Linked DNA regions of Ovis aries. The protein of the gene in region 1 interacts with the protein of each later gene in a pairwise test. Links are inferred from orthologs where the notes say so. Each region holds a gene or a part of one and is shown in the gene's direction. Other genes may lie near its edges. The genes, in order: KXD1, MOB1A, CCDC185, IFT20, EXOC7, LRRC45 and C17H4orf46.

Evidence for each region.
Region 2: the proteins of KXD1 (region 1) and MOB1A interact in binary tests that used the Homo sapiens proteins (3 or more experiments, as listed by UniProt). The two-hybrid records come from large-scale screens. The link is inferred for Ovis aries from reciprocal best matches to the Homo sapiens genes KXD1 and MOB1A.
Region 3: the proteins of KXD1 (region 1) and CCDC185 interact in a two-hybrid assay, tested with the Homo sapiens proteins (2 studies listed by BioGRID and IntAct). The two-hybrid records come from large-scale screens. The link is inferred for Ovis aries from reciprocal best matches to the Homo sapiens genes KXD1 and CCDC185.
Region 4: the proteins of KXD1 (region 1) and IFT20 interact in binary tests that used the Homo sapiens proteins (3 or more experiments, as listed by UniProt). The two-hybrid records come from large-scale screens. The link is inferred for Ovis aries from reciprocal best matches to the Homo sapiens genes KXD1 and IFT20.
Region 5: the proteins of KXD1 (region 1) and EXOC7 interact in binary tests that used the Homo sapiens proteins (3 or more experiments, as listed by UniProt). The two-hybrid records come from large-scale screens. The link is inferred for Ovis aries from reciprocal best matches to the Homo sapiens genes KXD1 and EXOC7.
Region 6: the proteins of KXD1 (region 1) and LRRC45 interact in binary tests that used the Homo sapiens proteins (3 or more experiments, as listed by UniProt). The two-hybrid records come from large-scale screens. The link is inferred for Ovis aries from reciprocal best matches to the Homo sapiens genes KXD1 and LRRC45.
Region 7: the proteins of KXD1 (region 1) and C17H4orf46 interact in binary tests that used the Homo sapiens proteins (3 or more experiments, as listed by UniProt). The two-hybrid records come from large-scale screens. The link is inferred for Ovis aries from reciprocal best matches to the Homo sapiens genes KXD1 and C4orf46.

Annotation. Positions count from the first base shown.
Region 1 is NC_056058.1:4,427,555-4,430,037, reverse strand, and holds the end of KXD1 (kxDL motif-containing protein 1), read left to right. Parts: intron 1-153; coding exon 154-200; intron 201-994; coding exon 995-1,224; 3' UTR 1,225-1,983; downstream 1,984-2,483.
Region 2 is NC_056056.1:96,002,872-96,007,153, reverse strand, and holds the start of MOB1A (MOB kinase activator 1A), read left to right. Parts: upstream 1-1,482; 5' UTR 1,483-1,701; coding exon 1,702-1,715; intron 1,716-4,282. UniProt on the Homo sapiens protein: Activator of LATS1/2 in the Hippo signaling pathway which plays a pivotal role in organ size control and tumor suppression by restricting proliferation and promoting apoptosis.
Region 3 is NC_056065.1:26,077,260-26,080,963, forward strand, and holds CCDC185 (coiled-coil domain-containing protein 185), read left to right. Parts: upstream 1-1,141; 5' UTR 1,142-1,200; coding exon 1,201-3,090; 3' UTR 3,091-3,204; downstream 3,205-3,704.
Region 4 is NC_056064.1:19,760,491-19,762,724, reverse strand, and holds part of IFT20 (intraflagellar transport protein 20 homolog), read left to right. Parts: intron 1-307; 5' UTR 308-467; coding exon 468-537; exon of another isoform or gene 538-696; coding exon 697-825; exon of another isoform or gene 826-1,960; coding exon 1,961-2,046; exon of another isoform or gene 2,047-2,234. UniProt on the Homo sapiens protein: Part of intraflagellar transport (IFT) particles involved in ciliary process assembly. May play a role in the trafficking of ciliary membrane proteins from the Golgi complex to the cilium.
Region 5 is NC_056064.1:54,916,416-54,919,915, forward strand, and holds part of EXOC7 (exocyst complex component 7), read left to right. Parts: intron 1-435; coding exon 436-504; intron 505-1,469; coding exon 1,470-1,615; intron 1,616-1,841; coding exon 1,842-1,994; intron 1,995-2,215; coding exon 2,216-2,314; intron 2,315-2,675; coding exon 2,676-2,738; intron 2,739-2,993; coding exon 2,994-3,060; intron 3,061-3,500. UniProt on the Homo sapiens protein: Component of the exocyst complex involved in the docking of exocytic vesicles with fusion sites on the plasma membrane.
Region 6 is NC_056064.1:50,381,679-50,384,330, reverse strand, and holds part of LRRC45 (leucine-rich repeat-containing protein 45), read left to right. Parts: intron 1-297; coding exon 298-410; intron 411-760; coding exon 761-819; intron 820-1,110; coding exon 1,111-1,188; intron 1,189-1,644; coding exon 1,645-1,780; intron 1,781-1,860; coding exon 1,861-1,938; intron 1,939-2,038; coding exon 2,039-2,150; intron 2,151-2,236; coding exon 2,237-2,307; intron 2,308-2,652. UniProt on the Homo sapiens protein: Component of the proteinaceous fiber-like linker between two centrioles, required for centrosome cohesion.
Region 7 is NC_056070.1:40,564,080-40,568,292, forward strand, and holds the start of C17H4orf46 (renal cancer differentiation gene 1 protein), read left to right. Parts: upstream 1-1,413; 5' UTR 1,414-1,651; coding exon 1,652-1,834; intron 1,835-3,095; coding exon 3,096-3,251; 3' UTR 3,252-4,213. Other genes in the region: ETFDH (electron transfer flavoprotein-ubiquinone oxidoreductase, mitochondrial), read right to left, coding at 950-983.

The DNA of each region.
Region 1 (2,483 bases):
CCAGGACAGTAGCTGCCGTCCATCATGGGGGTCAGAGGGCAGGCTGAGCGCCCAGTGCCCCCTCCAGCCTGGGAGCAGGGCGTGGCAAGCGGTGAGCAGGAGGGTCCTGGCCTGTACCGGGCTCAGCCCTGTGTGCCTTCCCTTCCCCCACAGGACACTGAAAGGGAAGCTGGCCAGACAGCACCCGGAGGCCTTCAGCCGTAAGTGTCACCCAGAACTCCTGCATCCCACTTCTGGGCTCTGCACCCTTTGATGTCAGTGCCCTCAGCCCAGGGCCGGCTTCTGGAATGTACCCCAAGGGCTGACACCAGGCCCAGGCCCTGGTGGGTTGTGGGTCCAGACAGACGTGGGCAGGGGTTTGGCCTGGTCTTCTTGGCAACCTGCAGAGCAGGTGTTGAGATCAGAATCTCCTCCTTCGGCGGTTGTAACAATGGGATATTGACAAGGATGACAGTCCTCAGCCCAGTGAGTGTCATGCACCCACTATGAGGCAGGCTGTTACCCGTAGCCACCTGTGAGGTGTGGGCTGTGCCCAGAGGGGCAGTGACTTGGCAGCGGAAGCCCAGCATCGTCCATGCTGAGCCTCACTTTACCCAGTCTGCTGAATGGGCCAACATCTCCCTACTGCAGGGCTGCTGAAACCACAGGCACAAAGGCAATGCCATCATCCCCCAGTTTATAGAGCAGGGAGCTGAGGCACAGGCAGGTGAGGGGCCAGGCCCAGGTGACACAGTCAAGAGGGCAGAGCCAGGCTCAGGCTCACCGCCCAGGGCCCATGTAGGCCAGACCCCGGAGAACCTGAGTCCTTACCTCACTTCACCTTGAAGAGAAGCCTCTCACTTGCCAAGGCCTCAGTTTCCTCCTCTGTAAAATGAACAAAGTCCTGTCGTGTGGGGTGGAGGTAGCTGTCAGGGGTCATGGGCCCAATTAATCCCTCATCACAGCACCTGATGATGACGGTAACTCAGCTAACTCTCGGGTCTTCTTCCCCCAGACATCCCAGAGGCATCTCTCTTGGAGGACGAAGATGAAGACCCCATTCCGCCTAGCACCACCACCACCATCGCCACCTCAGAACAGAGCACAGGCTCCTGTGACACCAGCCCCGACACCGTCTCACCCTCCCTCAGCCCTGGCTTCGAGGACCTGTCCCACGTCCGGCCTAGTTCCCCCGCCATCAACGGTCGCAGCCATACAGATGACGAGGAGATGCTGGGCGAGTAGCCCCGCTCCCAGGAGCTCCGAGGGGGGTCTCAGGGTGGCAGCAGCGTCATTCCCCAGATGTCTCAAGTGGCAGCGGAGAACCCTGCCTGGAGATACTCAGCTTTGCCACCCTAGTCTGTCATTTAGGGCTCGCCGAGGGGACAAGGCTCCCTCCCTCTAGGCTCCCTCCCTAGAATTCCTGGGGGTATTTCATTCCTGCTCCTTCGTCACTGAGAACATCTCTTCTGTAGATCCCTCTATCAGACTGGGGATGACCAGTCCACCTGGAGCTGGGCTGGGCACAGGGAGCTTTTCCAGAGTCAGGCCTTAGGTCTACTCTGAACAACACTCCAAGCTTCCCAGAGACCAGAGCCAGCTGCCCCCTGCCCCAGCCCCCTGGTCAGAACCCCCTCAAGACAGCCAAGCACCGTCACGTCCGAGTCCACCCAGCCCACCCCTGCGCCTACTGATTCTGGTCTTCTTGCCCCTTCCTCCAATGAAAGTACTGAATCCTTTCTCCAATCATTATCTCAAGGAGGTTTCTGAAACAGTTGTAGAAGGCTCAAGACAGAGATTAGCCATCCACTCAGCCCCAAGCCTGGTCGGGCCCTGTTTCTCTGACCAGAGGTGTAGACCTCTAGGGCCTAACAAGCCTCTCCTAGGGCCTTTGTGGAGCAAGCCGAGCAACCTTGGAGAACAAAGTGGAATATTTTTGTACCCGATGTTTACAGATGCTGTTGGGAAGTTATCAATAAAGAGACTCTGTTACTAAAAAGGGGAGGGTGCATCTAGCAGTGACTTCTTTCCATCCTTGGGCCCAGCATCCCAAATCAGGGACAGGTGCTGCGTGTGGGACAGGCTGGTTATGGATCGCCAGGCACCACCAGCCTAGAAAGAAATGTGGCTGCTTTGGGTGGGCGTCCCGAGTGGTGACAACCATAATGACCCCACTTCCTATCCCCACAGAGGCCTTCCCACTGCTCACATTTCCCTACTTCCTTGAATAATTTCTCTAAATCTCAGCCTCAAAGTGGGCTCCTCAGGGAGCTAGACGGGGTCCCATTCCCCATCAGACACTGTCACAGAGTCCCCTCATCTTTGAAGCACTTTCCATTGTTATTAAAGGTCTCTTCCCAGACCTCAGCGTGTCTGCATTTGCCTGGTCCATAGGGGGCGCCGGGAAGTGGTCAATGAAGTAAGGTACCCTGAGCAATGACTCCACTGTAAAGAAGCCCCCTACAGTGCAGACGGTTCGATCCCTGGGTCAGGAAGATCCCTTG
Region 2 (4,282 bases), on another chromosome or scaffold:
GGCAATAATAAAAAAAATACATAATAGCAAATGTTATCAATGATGTGGAAATATCAGAATCTTTGGATATTTGCCAGTGGGAATGTAAAACGGTGCAGCTAACGTGGAGTACAGTCTGTCAGTTACCCCAAAGGTTAAACATACAGTTATCTGTTTCTGCATGACACAGCCGCTCCCAGGCATATACCCAAGAGAAAGGAACACATTCATCCACACAAAAACTGTAGCAAGAGTATTCATTATAGCCAAACAGTGGAAACAACCCAAATGTGCATCAATAGATGAATGGATTAAAAAAATATAGTATATTCATGCAATGGAATAGTGTTCATTTATAAAAAGAATAAAGTACTGATACATACTACAATGTGAATTAAACTTAAAAACATTATGGTAATTGAATGAAGGCAGTCACAAAACAACCACATATTGTATGATTCCACTTATATGAAATATTCAGATTAGGCAAAGTCATATAAAAAGAAAGTAGATCAGCTGTGCCTGGTCTTAAGAAGAGGGAGGCACAGGGGGCAACTGCTAATGGGTACCTGTTTTGGGGGGGACGTATTGGGGAAAAAAAAACCTAGGACAAGATAGGGGTTGAAGGACTCTGAATACTCTGTGATAAAAAACACAAAAGTGTACTTTTTAGAAGCGTGAATTTGGGGCTTCCCTGGTGGCTCAGCGGTAAAGACTCCACCTGTCAATGCAGGAGACACAGGTTCCATCTCTGACCCTGACCCAGGAAGATTCCCATATGCTGAGAAGCAACCAAGCCTGTGTGCCACAACTATTCCGCTGTGTTCTAGAGCCCAGGAACCACAACTACTGGGCCCAGGTGCTGCAACTACTGGAGCTGGTATGCCCCAGAGGCTATGCTCCCTCCACAACAAGAAAAGCCACCACAGAGAGCAGCCTGTGCATCACAACTAGAGAGGAGGCCCTGCTTGTCACAACTAGAGAAAACTGGTGCTCAGCAACGAAGCTGCAACACAGCCAAGAAATGATAAAATAAATAAAATTACTCAAAAATAGATAAAGAGTGAATTTTAAATCTCAACTTAAAAATCAAATTAAAATTCAAAACACTTTTTTTAGGGAATGAAGACTCAGGGCTTTCTACGCCTTGAGCCCAGGTTCCATCCCTGGTCAAAGAACCAAGATTCCACAAACTTCACACCACAATGGAAAAAAAAAAAAATTAAGGTTTCTGCGCTCACAAAGGCCTCTTGCCACCTAGGGAGACAGGAGGCACACAACAGCGACAATCAGAACCAAGCGCAAGGTCAGCCATTCTTCCAGGCCAAGGACCGTGAACCCACCACGACTTCCGGAGCGGAAACCCGACCTTAGAGGCCCCTGATTGGCTGAGGTGAAGGAGCGGGCGGTGCAAAAGGGGGTTTGTAGATACGCTCTAGAGGTGGGGGGCGGCGCCTAGATGGGGGAACGAAACCTTAGATCGCGAGATTTTGCTGGTTCCGCATTTTGGGTCTGGAAGGTGGGGGAGGAGTACTAGGCGGGCTCAGTTGCTCACACCCGCTCGTACCGTCTCTGCCTCGGTTCCACCCGGGCTTGGAGCTGTGGCGGCGCCGGCTTCGGCTGTCCGCCGGCTTCGGACCTTCTGCTCCTTCCCGGTTCCGCGCGGACTCCGAGTCCTGACCGCGGCGGGGGCCAGCGGCCCCTCCCCTCCGAGGACAGAAGATGAGCTTCCTCTTGTGAGTGTGGCGGGGGCTCCAGGGCTGAGTGAGGGCCGGAAGGGGCGATGGGGCGCCTGAGGCGAGGGCAGCCCCCCGGGCCGGGGTAGGGGTGCCAGGTGCTTGCTCTCCTAGCGCTCGGAGTCTTGGGGGAGTCTAGAATGTGGGCAGAAGCCGACGGAGATGAAGGTCGAGGCAAAGGAAGCGGAGCGAGAAGGTTGGGGTGTAGAAAGGCCCCGAGGCCGGTAGCGCCTCGAAACTTTTCCGCTCGAGTGCACCTGAGGGCAGAGAAAAGATCCGGGGCTCCCAATTTCTCTCAAGTCCCCAGCCTTTTAGAAACGATGCATGCTGACTAAGCTTTTTATTCCACCGTACGCCAGCTTTATTATCGTCAGGATTAAATTTCCCCCGCGGAAAAATGCCGCCCCTGGAAAATGTGGGAGTGTCTCTAAAGTTAAGCTGCGGCCTTTACAAACAGTTCTGATTCAGCCCACTTTGTGAATTTGTGTAATTAACTAACATCTTTTCAACTCAGTAGAATCCTGTTTTAGAGATAGCTGTTGGACCCAAATGAGCCTTCAAGTGGGAAAAGTTTGTAAATTCTCTGATGATTCTTAAGCACATTAACGTTTGGGAAACATTGCTGTAACACCTTTTTTTCCTCGAGTGGCCCTCTCTACCTAGTGTATTGCTTAAATATCTATTGTATGAGCGAATCCATTTTTAGTTATGGGCATCACCCACATACTTGATATCTAAGTGTATCATAACCAGAGTTCACCCCGTTTCTTATTGTGAGAAATTTGGATTCTTTTTTAGTATTTTGCTATTGTAAAATACGATTACAAAGCTTTGACTAACAATCGCTTTTCCCCTTTGGATTATTTTTTAAGCGAATAGCCTTCAAAGTGTGATTACCATGTCAAAAAATCTATGTGACCTATATTTTAATTGAAAGTTTCCTTATTACCAGAACAACCCCCGCCCCATAACCAGTCTTTTTTTCTTATGTTAATGTTTAGTTGGTGGTTTGTTTGTGGATGCACAGTTCTTATTTGTTTTTTGGACCTAAATATGGCTCTGTTTATTTCTTTTAAACTTTATTTTGTTGATAGACAATTGAGTTTGCGCTTTTTGGCTGTTATGAATAATGATGCTGTAAAACTTGTGTATAGATTTTTGTTTTGGATGTATGTGTTAATTCTTTTGAAAATTTCCCCACAGCCTCTCTAGCACTTGTTAATTGAATTTTTGATTATAGCACATCCTAAGTGGATGTGAAATGGTATCTCATTGTGATTTTAGTTTGTTTTTCCTTAGTGATTAATGATGTTGAGCACCTTTTTGTGTGCTTATTGGCAATTTGTGTATATTCTTTCAAGTAATATCTATTCAAACACTTCGACCATTTTTTTAATTGGCTTGTCTTTGGTTTTAAGTTGTAAAAATTCTTTATCCTGGGTATGTCCCTTAATCACATGAGTTTTACAAAATTTTCTCCGATTTTGTAGATTCTTTTCACTGTCTTGATGGTGCCATTTGAAGCACAGACGTCTTCATTTACATGAAGATCATACAGAACCTTGAGACATCTTTTCTTGCTAGTTTTCCATATTTAGCTTCCTGTCATTCAGCTTGTTTTTATTGTAAAGGGCCATTCCCTCTAATGTAATACTTCCCTATTAAATTTAGCTCTTTATTATGTTAAACACAAGCTTCCCATGTTAGATTTTTATTGTTTTCATAACTCCTTTTTACTTAACAATCAGTCTTATTTAAAATTCAGATTACTCAGGTAAAGTGAAAGTCCTCAGTCTTGTTTCCTTCACTTCCTGGAAGTAATCACGAGTATCAGTTTGATGGGTGGCATTTTCCATGCATTTACAAAATAGACTTCTGCTGCACCTTTCATATTGTAATATGTGTGACCGTGTATTGAAATCTGTGTGAATTCATGTAGCTCTGTCTTGTTCCTCTTAATTGCCGTGTGGTATCCATGATACAGATGTGTCATGCCCATTTCTCCACTAGTAAGCTTTAGGATTGTTTCCAGGTTTTTCACTATTAAAAACAATCTTGGAAAACACATCCTTATCGAGGACAGATGCCTAGAAGCAGAAGGGACGGATTGAGGAGCATTTCACATCTGTTCATTTGTCACTGTTTTTCTTTCTGAATTATATAATCATCTCTTTAGCCCATTTTTCTAAAGCCTTTTCTTAACCAATTATAAAAGCCCTTTATTATGTAGTTCATACTTTGTAATATGTGTTACAAGTCCTTTTTTTTCCTGAATTATGGAAGTTTTAATTGTTGTAGTTAGAAATCTGTCCATTTTTTTCTGAGCTTTGTGTCATATTAGGAAGACCTTATGAATGGTGTGAGAGAGGAATAAAAGCTTGCTTTTCCCCTCCAAAACCTGTTGTTTATTTTCCCTGCCATAAATTCCAAATGTTGGTGATTCTTCTTTAGTTTGCTTTAATGGCACCACAGTATTTTGATACAGAAAACTGGATTTTTAAGCTTTAAGAGCCTTAGAACTGCCACTCTCACAGCACTGCTTTCTGTAGATGAAAACAGGCCAAAAG
Region 3 (3,704 bases), on another chromosome or scaffold:
GATTAAAAATGTTTTATTTTTTTGTGTATGTTTTGTATGTATTATTTGTGTGAAATGTATTATAAACCTACCACCTTACAGTACTATATAGCTGACTGTGTTAGTTGGGTACCTAGGCTAACCTTGTTGGACTCATGACAAACTGGATTTAGGAATACACTATTGGAATGGAACATGTTCATATGTAAAAATCTTACAATGTATTAAATGTATTTTCTGTATTAAATCTTACAATTTGTAGCTGAAGGCTAGAAGGACATCAAAATGATATTAATTGACTGTATTAAGGTGCTAGGCTCTTGAGGCATAGTTTCATCTACCTTATGGCAGCCCTACAGTGGTATTGTCATGGCCCCTCTTCCAGTCATCTGTTCCAGAACTTGAGGGTCAGGAAAGTTATCAACTTGGCCAAGACCACACAAGTGGAAAGTGGCAGAGGAGAGTCAAGCTCAAGTCTACATGACCAAATCTAGTGCTCTTCCCATGAGCTCTGAATGCCTCAACCCGAAAAAGTCATCTCATAAAACTGGAGAAAAAGGAAAACAATAAAGTGATTTGCCATGGTGTCCACCAATGCTATTTCAGAAATATGCACCTAACATTCCTATTTTGACAAAAGCAGTAATTGCTGTATTAGGAGGAAACAAACTATTGTGTTTTGTTTTCTGTCCTCTAAAAGTTTAAAAAACTATCCTTGAGCATGCTAAGTTATAAGGGCAAAAGGATGGTGCATATAAATTAACGAGCCTCGACTTTGCCTACACTGCAGAGGTGCACTGTGGTAGGGACCTGTGACTAAAGGACTCCCCACCCCACACTTCCAGGCCACATTCTATCCTTTTAAAATTCTGCTAGTTTAAGATGTACAAATGCGAGTTCAAATTCCTGCCTGCAACACAGGTGGGGGTTCACTACGCACCCTCATCTTTAGGGTGCCCCGAACTTTCTACAGCCCCCTCTACCATACGCCCTCTCCCAGGCTCCAGCCGCCTTCCCGCCTCTCGCTGCGCGGGGTGCTAGGAAGGCCAAGGTGGGCGAGGGCTGAGGGCTGCAGCAGCCAGGTGGCGCCGGGAGCATTGTGAAGTGGCCTGAGCGTCACAGGCGGCCAGGACCCCGGGATCGGAGGGCGGGGCGGGTCTCAGCAGCGCCCCCGCCGAGACCCGGGACCCGGATTCAGACGCTGGGCGTGCAGGAAGGAGAATGGAGGACTTCGGCCGCTTCTCCCCGCGGCCCCACTCGGCCCTGTGGGAGCCTCCGCCGCCCAGCGAGGAGAGCGCATCCTTGGCTCAGCTGGACGGGTCGGGACCGCGGACCGAATCGGGCCTGTGCTCCTGGGCCCGGACACCAGGCGAGGAGAGCGAGGCCACCGCGCCCTGGCCTCACCTGCTCTGCTCAGCCACCCCTCGGCCCAGCCGGCGCCCGTACTCCGACTCGCCGCAAGAAAGTCGCAGCCTGACCGACGTGACCCGGAGATTACTAGACCGTGTCAGGAAGCCCCGACCCCGCAGCCGGCGCCTGGAGGATGTCTGGGGGGAGACAAGGACCAAGCCCCAGGAGCAGGGAGGCAGCCGGCACAGCCCGGCCTGGCAGCTGGAGCCCCAGCCTCAGCACGGCCAGCACTACCCTCCCGCCCGGGGAGATTCGCCCCCTCCTTACCCGCAGGGAGCTTACACTCCCGCGAACCGAGCCTTTGAGGACGAAAAGGCGCAGAGCGGAGACCAGTGGGCAGTGCCGGTCGGCAGGGGTCTACGTCCCTGGTCCCTTTCCTCAGTCCACACGGAGAAGTCTTCTGTGTCCTCCAGAGAGTTTGGGACGCAGTCGGGTTGCCTGCACATCCAGAAAAGACACAGCAACGATCCGGTGGAGTCATTAACCAGCCAGCTTTCCCAGTCCCTAGTTTCCAGCAAGGAGATGCAGAAGCAGCACACCCAGGTCCTCAAGAACAAGTTGGAAGAGGCAGTAATATCCTCCAGGGACCAGAAGATCGTGGCCCTGGTGCTGAGCCGGCTCAAAAAGGCCCAGAGGATGCGGGAGCTGCAGCAGCAGGCGGCCCTGGCCTGGGAGGAGCTGAAGCGCTCCGACCAGAAGGTCCAGTTGACCCTGGAGAGGGAGCGCAAGCTGCTACTGCAGCAGAGCCAGGAGCAGTGGCAGCAGGACAAGGGGCAGCGCAAGGCTCGTCTGAACCGGGAGCTGCGAGTCCGGCGGCGGGACAGACGAGCCACCAGCACGGTCCAGCAGGAGAGCAGCGGGTGGAAGGCACCGCTGGAGGACCAGGAGAAGCAGCGCCAGGAGAAGCTGGAGGGGGCCCCCTCCGAACCCGAGGCGGAGCCGGAGAAGCAGTGCCAGGGGCAACGCCTGCCAGAGAGGATGCTGCGGGACCTGCAGGTGCGAAACAGCCTGCAGCTACAGAAGAGGCTGGCGCAGGCATGTCTAAAGAAGCACGTTCACCCCACCAAGGGCCAGAAAAAGATCCAGGAGACCAGTCTCAGCTCTTTAGTCAATTACCAGGCCAGGAAGGTCCTCATGGACTGCCAGGCCAAGGCTGAGGAGCTCCTCAGGAAGCTGTCCCTGGAACAGAGCTCCCGATGGTCCCAAGAGATGCCCGAGGGCCAGATGAAGGAGCCCCACAGAGAGCTGAAGGACAGAGTCCAGAAGGAGGAGGAGCGGTTCCAGCAGGTGAAGAGGTGGGCTGAAGAGTCCCAGGAGCAGAGAGAGGAGCATAAGTCGCTGCTGGAGGAGCTGGCGGACCAGAAGATCCTGCAGACCCGGAGTCAGGTCCACAAGAACGTCAGGGACAAGGCGCACCACATTCGGGAGCTCAACATCCTACGGGAGAAGAATCATCACATCCTGAAACTGAAAGCCGAGAAGGAGGAAAGATGCCACATCGAGGGCATCAAGGAAGCCATTCGGAGACAGGAGCAGAGGATGGAGCAGATCTTGCGAGAGAAAGACGCAACCTTCGAGGAATTCCAGAAGATCTCCAGGGCCTCCAGGACAGATGACGTGAGAACACTTGCCAACAACTTCTTTGATCGGATGACCCGGGAGGCCCAGGTCCCAGCCGGGCAGCAGAGAGGGGGCTACTGAGAACCTGATGACAAACAGCTTCCAGCCTAGGTGGCTAGACAGAGATCTGGCAATGTGATTCATTTTCTAATTTGATTATGACTGAGCATTGATTTTTAAAAAGCATATAAAATAGCAGCAACTTTCTCTCACGAACTAGTTTGTTGATTCATTGGGATGGTTGAGAGGGTGGGATAAACATTTCCAAGTTTTAAGAAAATTACTTGCCTTTGTACATTTGGCTTTAAATAGAAAATACTCATTTGCCTCTCAGGTAATCTCAGAAGCGTATGAATGTCAGACACATTTTGAGGAACCAAAGAAAAAGTCTACAGTGGGGAATAGAGTTCTGTGCCATGGCTTCAGTCTTTCCCTGTCCCAGAACTTATGAAAGGGTGAAGTGTGAAGTACTTGTCATAGGAAATCTCCAAGAACAAAAAGTGAGGTGGGGAAGCATGGGGGGAATTCCTGTCAATAAGTATATTGGAGAACACAGCATACTACATCCCCTCTTGGGAGTTCATAACACAGCTGAAAATTTTAAAGGCTCTGAAAAGTCTTGCAGTAAAGACACATTTGATTAACCTAGAGTTTTTCACAAACCATGGAACTTTTTTTTCTCTTGGATCCTTCCA
Region 4 (2,234 bases), on another chromosome or scaffold:
TTCTTACCCCTGGCTTCGTGTGGTTTTTTTTTTTTCCCGTGTTTATTTTTAACCCTAATTTTTAATTCACTCCAATTTTCTCTTTTACTTCTTTCATGTTCCAACACTATATTTGAAAAGCTCTTTTATGTCCTTTTGGATACATAACTGGGGATAAAGAAATATGCTTATGGCTCCCAGCTTAGTTCACACATCACTCCCTCACCCCGAGTTAACTGTTCTCTTTTCCTCCAGCTCTTTAGTGATATTTCTGTGAAAGCACTTAACACAGTGTAATTTTGCAGTGTCCGTGTCTGTCTCCCTCCAGCTACACTCTGTGCTCCTCCAGGGCGGGCACCATGTTGCGCGCAGCTTTATCCCCAGCATCTAGCAGTGCTGGCATGTAGTTGGCACTCCAGGAATGTGTGTTGAATGAACGATGCCTGTGACAAGCAACTGGACTTTATTCTTTCCTGACCCTTGCTCCTATGACACACCTCTCCCTGGCTGACCCTGTCAGAGCAACTCTCTTCTCTGGGGAAGCTGGAAGGCAAACAGGTGAGGCTCAGAGAGGCGGAGGCAGAGGGAAGGGGGAGCCTTTGGAACATCTGGGCTTTTGGCCTTGGTGTCCGGGACCAGGAGTGGGGCTGGGCTGGAAGCTGGCTTCTCCTTGAGGGGCTGGGAAGTGACTGGGGACTGGGGCTGGTTTCTTTACAGCCATGGCCAAGGACATCCTGGCTGAAGCAGGGCTGCACTTTGATGAGCTGAACAAGCTGCGGGTGTTGGACCCAGAGGTTACCCAGCAGACCATAGAGCTCAAGGAAGAGTGCAAGGACTTTGTGGACAGTGAGTGTCGTCTGGGGGGACATGGTGCCACACAGCTTTGTGCCTTGCCCCCATCCCGACTGCAGCTCTGGGCCCTGTCCAAATGGAGCTGCTGTCTCCCAGGAGGTTGAACCTGGCCCTCCTGAATTCCCATGTGCCACCCACCTTGTCTGCGTGCCCTTCTATGCTCTCAGGTAGTCCCAGGACACCAATCAAACACGGTTGTGGAGACAGGAGGATGTTTGTTTAGGTAGGCCATCCCAGGAACCTTCAACTTCAGAACCATGACTTGGGGGTGGGAAACGGAGTTAGGATTTGATTTCTTGGGAGAAATAGTGTTCTCAGTGGCAGACTTTCCATTGTTTGGAGTGAGAGTTGATCACCTGGAGTTTGGAGAGGCAGTTCAAAAGACTCAGTGGTCATTTTTTTTTTTTTTTTTTTAAGCTAGTGATAGCCAGGATGCCTCCTGTCCCAGCAGCCAAACAAGCCCAGTAGCAGCAAATACAGAGCAGATGTAGCCAGTATCTGAGCCTTCTGGGGCGTCCATAGGCTCTAGAGAGAGCTTGACTGGCGGAAGGTAGTGGGTCCTCTCACACGTCTTCTGAACACTCTGTGTATGTCGTCCTACCCTCTGGGTCTTAGTTTACTCCTTGGTAACACGGGTTCCACTATACCCAGGGACACTGAACAAATGAGATTAACTCCTTAAATGCTTTGAGCTTTTTATTAGCTCTGGTCACAAGTGGAAAGCCCCCAGTCCCCATCAAGTCAAATCTAGTCTTACCTGCGGCTTGCCAGAGGCAGCGTTCATATCCTGAGGCGGTCCTTTTGTGAGGTCAGTCCTTTGTGCTTCCTGTCATTCCTAGGACAGCAGGATGCAGTCCATCCCGGAGGTGCGCCCATCAGGAGCCTCAGAGCCTGAGCTACAGCTTCTGGCTGGTTCAGTGGGGACTCAAGATCCAAATATACCCCAACCCAGCTCTGGGCTGACGGCCACCCTTCTCTAGTTTCAGATCAAGGCTGTCAGACACCAAATGGCTTTTCACACAAATTAGAAGAGGCGGTTAGCCCTGCCCTCTTGCCACAAGGAAATGCTGAGGGAGAGTGGTAAGGCTGAAAAATAAAACATTTGTTTTTGTTCTTCTTTCCACAAAAGAAATTGGCCAGTTTCAGAAGATAGTTGGTGGCTTAATTGAGCTTGTTGATCAACTTGCAAAGGAAGCAGAAAATGAGAAGATGAAGGTAAGATCAGCAAGTATTTCGTCTAACTTTCGGCCTGGTTCACTAGTCTCTCATCCTTCTGCCCCCCGCCCCCGCCCCGCCTTGGTTTTTAATCTGGTTCTTAAAGATTCTGGCTGTGCTGCGTCTCCGTTGCTGCTGTGTGGGCTGCCTAGTTGTGGCGAGCCGGGGCCGCTCTTTGCTGTGGTGAG
Region 5 (3,500 bases), on another chromosome or scaffold:
CAGATCCGCCTTCAAAAGAATGTCCCTGGGGCACAAAAGGAGCCTGTCCCCATTCATTGGGCAGTGACATTTCTCTAACTGGATCTCTCCCCAATACGGTGAGACTCAGCCCCTGGGGCTGAACATCAGACCTTCCGCAGCTGCCGGAAACTCTTCAGAAACCCTCTGTGGTCCTCACAGCTTTCTCAGCCTCCGGGTTTGGGGAAACTGGCTCCCAAGGGTGGTCCAGGCACTGCAAGTCAGGCTTGAAACGGCTGTTCCTGAGGTGGTCTGAGGCAGAGGAGGGGCTCAGAGCCCTCTCCAGTGCCCCCACACACACCCCATCTCATATCCGCCCGGAGACTGAGGGCTTCTTCTCAGCGCCCCCCGACCCAAGAGGCAGCCACCCCGCCCCTGGATAAACGCTGCTTGTGTTTGCGGCCAACGTCTCGCTAGGTCACGAGCATGATTTCCGAGTTAAGCACCTGTCCGAGGCCCTGAACGACAAGGCCGGGCCGCTGGCCGGTGAGTACTGCAGCCCAGCCCGCGGGCCGCCACTGCCGCACTCCCGGCCACCCCTCGGAGGGCCCGCTCCCGCCGCCCAGCCGGCCTCCGCTCCGAGGACGAGCCAGGCCTACTCGCCTCTCTCTCTCCCCGGCCTCCTTCTCTCTCTCTCTCGGGCACTAGGTCTCCCTGCCTCTCTCCAGACGGGAGTGCAGGCTGGGCTCTCGGGGCCTGGGCCGAGGGCAGAAGCTGCAGGCGGCCCCTTGGAGGGTAGGGAGCGCCCGCACCTGACTCCAGCAGCAGGCTCTGACCCCCTCAGAGCCCGTCCCTTGGCATGTAGCATCCAGTTGCCTGCGGACACCACTGCCTCAGCCTCTAGTACCGGGAGGGACCCCCTGCTCCTCCTGGGGCAGCTGACAACCAAGCAATCCTCCCTGTCTGGGGCTCACGTGGCCTGCTCTTCAACTTTAATCCCATGTCAGCTAGCCTCATAAACCAGAGCCCACTGCCTTTTTATACATTCCAGGCCTGGCCAGGCCGGTGTCTGCCTTTAGAGGCCCAGCATCTTCTGAGATGGCGCCAACCTCCTTGGGGTGGACATTGCCTCTTGCCCATCCCTGGGTGTCGTCTTCCCAGTACAGTTCAGAATCCCCTGTCTGGGGTCAGACGTGTCTTCTCCGGGAAGTAGACTGAGGGGTCTTCTTGTCCTTGAATCCTCCCCCACACCTCCCACACCTGACGCTCTGGGATAGTAATACTGCCCACAGCAGAGCTGAAAATGAAGCTCAGACCAAGGCTGGACTCAGCCCCATTTTTCCCTCCTCAAACCCTGGCAGCTCTGCTGGAGTCCTCTCAGCTTTCTGCCAGCAGTCTTCCTCCCATCTGCTGCCAATCTGGCCAGGAGCTGGAGAGATTCACGGCCCCCACCCCAGCAGGGAGAGGGGCTACCCCAGACCAGTAGCTCAGGGGCCCTGCTGTCCCCCCAGGGAGAGATGACATGCTGGACGTGGAAACCGATGCCTACATTCACTGCGCCAGTGCCTTTGTCAAGCTGGCCCAGAGCGAGTACCAGCTGCTGACGGACGTCATCCCTGAGCACCATCAGAAAAAGACCTTCGACTCTTTGATACAGGTCTGGCCCCGCCCCGCCCCAAGTGAGAGCTATCCCTGCAGAAGCTTGAGTCTGGGCCAGGTTCCTAGCCCTTAACTCCAGCCACTGCCTCCACCCCGATCCTGGGGCCTCTGAACTGGGTGATCAGAGGCACACACCTCCTCACACCCTTCCAGGTCCCCTCACTGGCCATGGGAGCCGGCTGGCTGCCCCTCCCCTGAGCCCTCCCCCTGCCCCGCTCTCTCAGGACGCCCTGGACGGGCTCATGCTAGAAGGCGAGAACATTGTGGTGGCCGCCCGCAAGGCCATCATCCGCCACGACTTCTCAGCCGTGCTCACTGTCTTCCCCATCTTGCGGCACCTCAAGCAGACCAAGCCTGAGTTTGACCAGGTGCTCCAGGTACGTGGGGGTGGGGGGGGCCCTTGGGGATGCTGCCTAGCAGGGCCTCCCAGGAGAACTGCATTCTCTGCTCAGAGTGGTGGGCAGCGGCAGCTTCCTCAGGGCCCTGGGTGGGTGGAGGCACTCTCAGGGGAATGAGGAGAAGAGACAGTCCCCGGGGCGGGGGGCTGGGAAGGAGCAGGGCTCCGGAGCCCTGTGCAGCCCTGTGGCTACATCCTCAGGGCACAGCCGCCAGCACCAAGAACAAGCTGCCCAGCCTCATCACTTCCATGGAGACTGTGGGAGCCAAAGCGCTGGAGGACTTTGCCGACAACATCAAGGTGCCCTTCCTCTGTTCACGCCACCCAGGCCGGCAGGCGGGGCTGCAGGCAGGGCCACCTGCGACCGGCCTCAGGAACTCCTGAGAGCAGGCCTCCAAGTGGGTTGGGCCTGCCCTGCAGGGAAGCCAGCCAGCCGTGCTGCTGGTCTCCTGTCAGTACCCACGGGCCTCCCTTTCTTTCCCAGAGGCCCCCACTTGAGGCATCAAGCTCCTTTAGGTCCCTCTTGCTCGTTTTTTGTGCCGGATGGGGTGTCCTGACACTTGTCTGCCAGGAGGTGGTGCTGTGGGCCCACAGACGGGTGCAAGGTTGGCTGGGGCCTCCTTAGGAGCTGTTTCAGGGACTCAGGCTGTCTGTCCCACAGAACGACCCCGACAAGGAATACAACATGCCCAAGGATGGCACCGTGCACGAGCTCACGAGCAACGTAGGTGCTGCTGGGGACTCCTGGGGCGGGCGGGGGGCGCAGGTGGCAGGATGGGCTGGAGGCGCTAAGTGCCCTCTGCAGACGGGGCCTTTCCCTGGAGGCCAGACCCACAGGGTGAAGCAGCAAGTTTGCTCCCACCCGTTTCGCCTGCCCTCACCTGTCTGGAACGGTCAGAGGGGCTGCATTGTGGGGGCTGATCCAGCCTTTGGGTCCTGCCCTTAACCTTCTTCTTGGCCCCGTTTTCTCCCCACACAGGCCATCCTCTTCCTGCAGCAGCTCCTGGACTTCCAGGAGACGGCAGGTGCCATGCTGGCCTCCCAAGGTACTTGACACCTCCCAGTGGGGCCCCCCACCCCATTCCTCCCTCCAGGCTAGAGACATGGGGTTAGCCCCTCCCCAGGGGGCACCCTCCTCTCTGGGTGAGGAGATTCCCCCCACCCTGGGTGGGTGGAAAGGAGTCGTGGCCTGTGACGGGACCTCCCTCAAGCCTCTTGGACCATCAGACCCAGCATCAGGAGAGCAGGGTCTGACCACCTGCCCCGGCCTCCGTCCCCCCGGCTCCCTCCACCGTCCTCGCCCTGGAGCGCGGACCCCACTTGTCTGAAAGTGTCTTTCGTGCCCCGCTCCCGCCTCCTCCTGCACTTCCCCACCTCCTCTTGTGTTGCCTGTCCTCCTACTTGGTCTCACACTGCTGACCCATTGAGCGGGCTCGGCTGGCATCTCAGGGCCAGCCTGGTGTCTTCCCGTGACTGGGGCTGGGAA
Region 6 (2,652 bases), on another chromosome or scaffold:
CCGCTTCTGGCCGGTCCCTCTCCAAATGCTGCCTGGATCTGTCCAAAACATGGGAGCTGAGCATGACATTCACCTCTTAAAAATCACATGTTGGCTTTTAAGCTTTGGGGCAGAATCCAAATGCCCACCTTTTATGACTGTTGAGCAGCCTCTTTACCTCTTCCACGTGCCTGTCCCCCCGACCCGGTGCCTCCCCTGCTCCTTGCTTCACTGTTGCCCCATCCCCTAGCCCCACCGCCTCTGAGCCTCTCACCTGCTTAGTGCACTGGGGGGTCTGATCTGTGCGGCTTCCAACAGAGCAAGCCATGGACCACAACCAGGACCGGCAGACTGTCTTCCGGGAGAGTCAGGCTCGTGCCCAGGTGCTCAGCAAGGAGGTGCGGCACCTCCGGGAAGAGAAGTCCAAGCAGGTAAGGACAATGCTGCCTCTGACTGCAGAGCCTCGCCCCGCCCTGGCTGTGTGGACAGAGCTCCCTCAGCCCCCATGCCGTGGCCTTCTTCCCTCCCTCTGAGCCCTGGAGCCTCTCCAAGAAGCCAGTACCTAGGCCCGAGGCAGCCTCTTTTCTGATGCTTTTCAGCTGGGTGGGTGGGCTTCCCCTCTGGGCCTCCCTGTCTGGCAGCCACCCTCTCCTTGGATGAGGCTCAGCTCCTTGGTGTCCTGCTGCCTCAGTAAATGTCGGCCTCCTTTCTTGCCAACCGTGGGGCATGAGCAGGCTCTGGGCTCTGGGCTCTGATGGGCTCTGCCTGGCTCTGTCCCCAGTTTCTGGACTTGATGGAGACGATCGACAGACAGAGAGAAGAGATGGCCAAGAGCAGCAAGTGAGCTTGGCCCCAGGTCCAGGGCAGGGCGGCAGTGCAGTGGGGGAACCTGGGAGTCTGAGTCCTGGCTCTGGCCTTGGAGTGACCTAACATGTGAGCCTGGTCCTCTCCCCACAGACAAGGATGTGGGCTGTATTTCCTGAGGGAGTTGGCTGGAGGCTTCGAGGCTCCACTGAGCACTGCCTTAGCCCGCACCTGGGCATTGTGTGAGCATGAGGGGCAGCAGCCGCTTCAGGGAGGGGCTCAGACGACTCGGCTTTGGGCCCCTGGGACCCTCTTCTCTGTCCACAGGGCATCGGCTGCGCGTGTGGGGCAGCTTCAGGAAGCCCTGAACGAGAGGCACTCCATCATCAATTCCCTCAAGGCCAAGTAAGGAGGGGCAGAGGGCAGGATGGGAGTATGAGGAGGTTTCAGAACACTTTAGAGACCTGCCCACAGGGCAGGAAGACCATCCTAATAGGGACTCAAGTTCCACTGCACAAAGGAAGTCAGGGAAACCACTAGGGTAGTTACTGAGAAGGCTTTCTGGGAGGAGCTCCAACTCATCCGCTTGCAAAGCCGGGCACTGGGCACTGAGGGAGGGAAGGTTAAGCTTCGTCCGCTTTCCCCAAGCCCCACCCCAGGCTCCCCAGAAGCCTGGTCCCACTCCCCCACCATCCCCTTCCCTGGTTTTGCAAAAGCAAGTTCTTTTCACTGGCATCAGACAAGTCTCTGAGGAGCCTAGACTAGCTCAAGGGGCACTAGCAGGGGCAGTGGCCTGGCAAGAATGACCTTAGCAAAGGCTAGAGGTTGGCTGGGGTGGGGATGGCCCTTCCCTCCTTGCAGACTGCAGATGACGGAGGCCGCCCTGGCTCTGTCGGAGCAGAAGGCCCAGGACCTGGGGGAGCTCCTGGCCACTACAGAGCAGGAACAGCGGAGCGTGGTGCAGAGGCAAGCCAAGGAGCACAGGCTGGAGCAGCAGGTGGGTGGGTGTGGGGTGGGCAGGCCGGGGGTGCGTGGTGGCAGATGGCCACCGACACCCTTTTGCCATGTCACCCCCAGGAAGCTGCAGAACGGGAGTCTAAGCTCCTCAGAGACTTGTCTGCTGCCAATGAGAAGAACCTACTTTTGCGAAACCAGGTATGGGGTGGGGGTGGGAGTGGGGCCAGCCCCTGGGAAGCCTGGGGTGGGGCTTCGGGAAAGCAGAACGTAGCTTCCTCCCTCCGTGCCGACTTTGCAGGTGGATGAGCTGGAGCGGAAGGTGAAATCTCAGCAGGAGCAGCTGTTCCTGACCAAAACGGAGCTGACCAACACGACGGCTGAGCTGAAGATGCGGGCCATCCAGGCTGAAGGTCAGCACAGCCAAGCCTGCTGCTGGGGCCTGAGGACCAGGGGCCCCCTGAGGAGTCCCACTCACACGCCTCCCCTGTGCTTCCAGAACGCCTGGAGCTGGAGAAGAACAGGTCCCGGCAGAGCTTGGAGGACGCGGAACATCTGCGCTTCAAGGAGGTGCCTTATCAGTTGTGTCTTCTGGGCTTCGTCCTCCCCGCTACCCCGGGGCATGCAGATACCTCAGTGGGGCACGGTGTTCCCCAGGCAGACTCCTGGCCTGGCTTCCCTCAACAACCTTGGACTGCTGATGACAGTCCTGGCAGATGTCAGACCTAAACCCTCCCCACCGGTTTCTAGAAGGGACCCTGACTGACTGTGCCCGAGCCACAGTGCAGGCTGCACCTGGGGTGCAGCCCTGGGACCTGCCCTCCGTCCTAGCTTCCTACGAAGCCACTTGGGGTAGCCTCCACTCGGAAGGAACAGGGTGCCCAAGATTCATCTGCCCCCCAGGGTGGGGATCCC
Region 7 (4,213 bases), on another chromosome or scaffold:
TCTACAGAGCTGTCCCTCAGAGCTATCTTAAGAGGCTGTCTCCTAAGCGCTCCCTGTGCCTGCTGAGTAAAACACAATCCTCAACCTTTTAGGTTGTGCATTTTTTTTCAGTCAACAGTATTTACACATTAGGTGTCATAAAACATGCACCATAACAGAAACTTTAAATTCCAATTATTTAATACATGGTGGACAAATCTGACAAAATTCTACTTTTTTGAAATTTACACAATACCCGTGAATTTGCAATATGTACACTTGTTTATTCTAGAACCAAAATTTAAATAAACTACAGAAAAAATTAAGTCAGTCTTGAGAGATATCTTGGAGTAAACTTTTTTTTAACTGTTTTTAAGGAAAACAAACAAAAACCGTCCAATGACATCATTCTACTTTTTTTCTAAGGTGAAAGGGGAGGTAATGAGGTATTTTACCAAATCATCATGATGGTTTTAGGGCAACCATAACACGATACGCTGTAGAGTCAATTTTAGACAACACAGAAAAATTCCCGGCTCCAGAGATAACCTGATGACTTGGGTACCATATAAATGTCAACGTGACAGAACAGAGTTCAAATTCTTAAGAAAGGAGTAGGACGGCTGCAAGACGCAAGTCAGGAGAGGACCAAGGAGAAAATCTGTGTAATAGCTAATTTACCCATTTTCCAACAAGGCTGTTGCAAGTCTAGGACAACATCTGGGCTTTGGGAGGAGGGTCAGCACCAGGGTTCGGGGAAGATTCCGCTCGGGAGCCGCGTTGACAAGTTTCCTCCGCCCGTGACCTCTGCCCTAGTTGTCAACTTTTTCAACAGGGACAAGCCCGGGGAGGAAACCAGGATCCACCTGGCGCTGATCGCGCGCCCTTGCCCGAGTTCTTCCCTAGCGAGGCGAGCCCGGACTGCCCCGCGACCTTGCTCTGTCAACCCGCGCCCGCAGACCCCGCTCACCCGGGCAGGCCAATCTGGCCAGCAGCACCTGCATGTTCACAGCAGACAGACAGGACGCTGGCCGACGCCGGGGAGGAGGTTGGGCTTGGCTCGTACGGGCGCGGGACCTCTAAACCACTGGGGGCGCCATCGCCGGCCGAGACGCAAGCAGTCACCACCTGCCTGCTCCGCGGAACGCTCCAGCTTCACCACGCTCCCGCCTGTCTTGCTATGCGCGGGCGCCCCGAGTGACGCGACGCGACGCCCGCAGCGTTTCCGGGTCACGGACCGAAGGGGCACGGGAAGGGACTCAAAGTCCCAGCGCCGCCCGCGGCTGCAGGCTGCACGGCCTCTCACCCGGCGTGCGCTGAGAGCGCCGGAATGGTTGGGGAGTGGGGGGCGGGGGGACCACAAATCCCAGGATGAATCGCGCGCAGAGCCCCAAGACTGTGAGGCGTAGCGGCGCGCACGGCACCTTGGGAGCTGTGGTCTTCTGTTCCGGCGTCTGGGAACCCGTTGGGAGGTTTTCCCCCGGAGCGGAGAGTAGCCTCAGGCGAACTCATTGGCATCTGATTGGCTGTCCCGAGAAAGTGACACGGCTTCGCGGTCCCCGGCGGAGAGCCGAGAGGAGGCGGGCCCGCTGGGCTTTGGGCGCGAGCGGTTGAAAGACGGTTGGTATTGGTTCGGCCTCCCAAGTCCGGTCCAGTCGCCCAGCCGCGCTCCATGGCGAACCCTGAAGGGCTGCAGGTTTCCCCGCCGCCGCCGCCCCCTTCTTCTCCTTCTTCTCCAGACACGTCTTCAGCATCTTCCCCCGGCGCCCCAGGGGGTTTGGGCTGGCCTGTTCCGAGCAGGAGCAGCGGCCGACTGGTGGACCCGCTGGAAGAGGTGGAGCTGCAGATCGGAGACGTGAGTGCGGCCGGCGGGTCCGGGCCGTGTCCCGCACGTATTCAAGAGCCGCGTCGGGAGTCCAGGGCATCCCTCTCCCGCCGCGCCCGCGCGGGGTCTTTGTGCCTGGAGGTCTGGTTCCGCTCTCGCGGTGTAACCCGAAACGGCGCAGTTCACAAACCCACCGCCCTGCCTCGTCTGCGGGGCTGAGGGCCAGACAGGGATTCCTCTGCTGGGACTTGATCCGTCTCCCTCCCCCTCGCCCTGTTTAGTTGGCCGCCTGCCCAGAGCCTGCTGGGTAGGCGATGATTATTCTGAGCGGACCCAGTTAGGATGGGTTAGTCCCCGCCCCGTGGTCCAGATTGCTACCCCTAACAATACAAAGACCCGTCCCTCTGATGGCCGGGATTCCTGGTCTGGACGGCTTCTGTTGAGTCTCCAGTTAGTAGACGCGCGCGTACACTCACAGCCACCCAGCTACACAGTCGGGTTTCTCGATTTAAGGTCAAGTGAATGAAGTCTGTAGGGTGTCGTCTTAACCGGGAGATCCTCCTGTGCAGGTTGCAAACCGCGGGGTGAACTCCTTTATTCTCTCATTCCTCAGCAAGTATTTGTTGTTTTAAAAAGATGGCTGAAATGCTGACACAGCTTCATCTTTGCTGAACCAGGCTGTTCCAAATGAGCGTGTAGAATGCAGTGCTGATATGTTTGTTACCCAGGAACAGTGTTATTTTATACGGTGGGTGAAGAAAGCATTTGATCAAGAAATGAGTTTTCCACCAAGGTTGCAGTGTTTTCTGCATGGGTGTTGTTTTTGTTGGTGTTAATTGTGAGCTCAGAGTGTCTGTTCTTTGGTTCATACGGTTTCATGGTCTGCAGTGTTAAACAGATGAAAATAGCGGAGCAAGTCGCTCCCTCCCATCAGTAAGAGCTGTATCATAAGTCCTTCAAATACTTCTTGGTGTCAACGGGCTCAAGTCGTCTTGTTGAGCTAAATGAGACTAGTGTATTATCACCCGAAAAAGATGCTGACTGGTCATGTCTCATACATAATGTATATCTTTCTAGTAGACAGATGTCCTCAAAGCTTACTTAATGTAGACAATTTTTTTAGGTTCCACTAAAGAGCTGGCATGTCGTAGTTTGAAGATTTTTAACTTTTTAAAGAAAAGAACTTGGGCATTGGATTCTAAGCTATTTTCAGCCAGGTTCATAAAATAGGGAGAGAATTTTAAAAATAAACATATAGTTTTACTTTTTTTTTTTTTTTTTTAATTTTCAGGCAGCATTTTCATTAACCAAACTTCTGGAAGCCACATCTGCAGTATCAGCTCAAGTGGAAGAGCTTGCCTTCAAATGTACAGAAAATGCACGTTTCCTTAAAACATGGCGGGACCTCTTGAAAGAAGGCTATGATTCCTTGAAGCCTGATGACTGACTTGACTGTAATAATGCATACCTCCTCATCTATGATGTTTGCGCATGTACCATGGAGACTGGATGATCGCACGGTTCTGGATACTTAAAGATGAAAATTTTCTTGGTTTTCTTCATTTTGTGAAAACAGAATGCTGATGTTATTTTTGAGGCTGATTCATATTTTTTTATCTTTAAACACTTTCTGTTCTCTGAACTTTCAAAGACTCTTTTATGAAAGTTAATCAGTAGGTAATAATGCCACAGTGTTGCCAGTAGCAAACGAGGTGAACCATTATGCTCTTCTATTTGCAAGAAGATGCCAAGAAGAGCAGAATTTGAAATTGAGCTTTATTTATGGCCCAAAGAAAGTAAACTTTCATGTTACCAATGTTAGATTTAGCTCCACTGGGCTAAGTTCCCTAGAACCAATGATTGTGTCTTAGTTGCTTACATATTTCCAGCAACCTAAAACACTGTTACACAACAGTCACTAAATGTTTGTTAAATAAGAGTTGACAGCATAATTAAAAGCTGCTTTTTCTTTTAACTTTAGCGTAAAGATGTTAATTGTTTCTTGAAAAAGTATTTGAGTCAGAACTTCACTGACTTTAAGGAAAATGTTATCTTTCTTTTTTTTAACAGGAATTTGAACTTTGATAACTTTTAAAAACACATGATAAATATTTTTCACCCCTCTGTGATGCTTTTCAAAAAAACTTTTACTGAAGCCTGTCTTGAAAAAATACGTATTTTTTTCCCCTCTATTTCTGAGGTTAACTGCTTTTATGGATATTTCTTATATTCACTGTTTTGTATGTTTAATTGTTCTCCTTAAAGTGCCTTATCAAAATTATGGCTTTGTAGTATTACTTTTGGAGCTTGGCAGGTAATAATTTTAAATTCTGAGTGTAATAATTCCAAACAAGTACTTTAAAAAAATGCATCAAATTTAAATGATGTAATTGTTTTCATATTATTTGA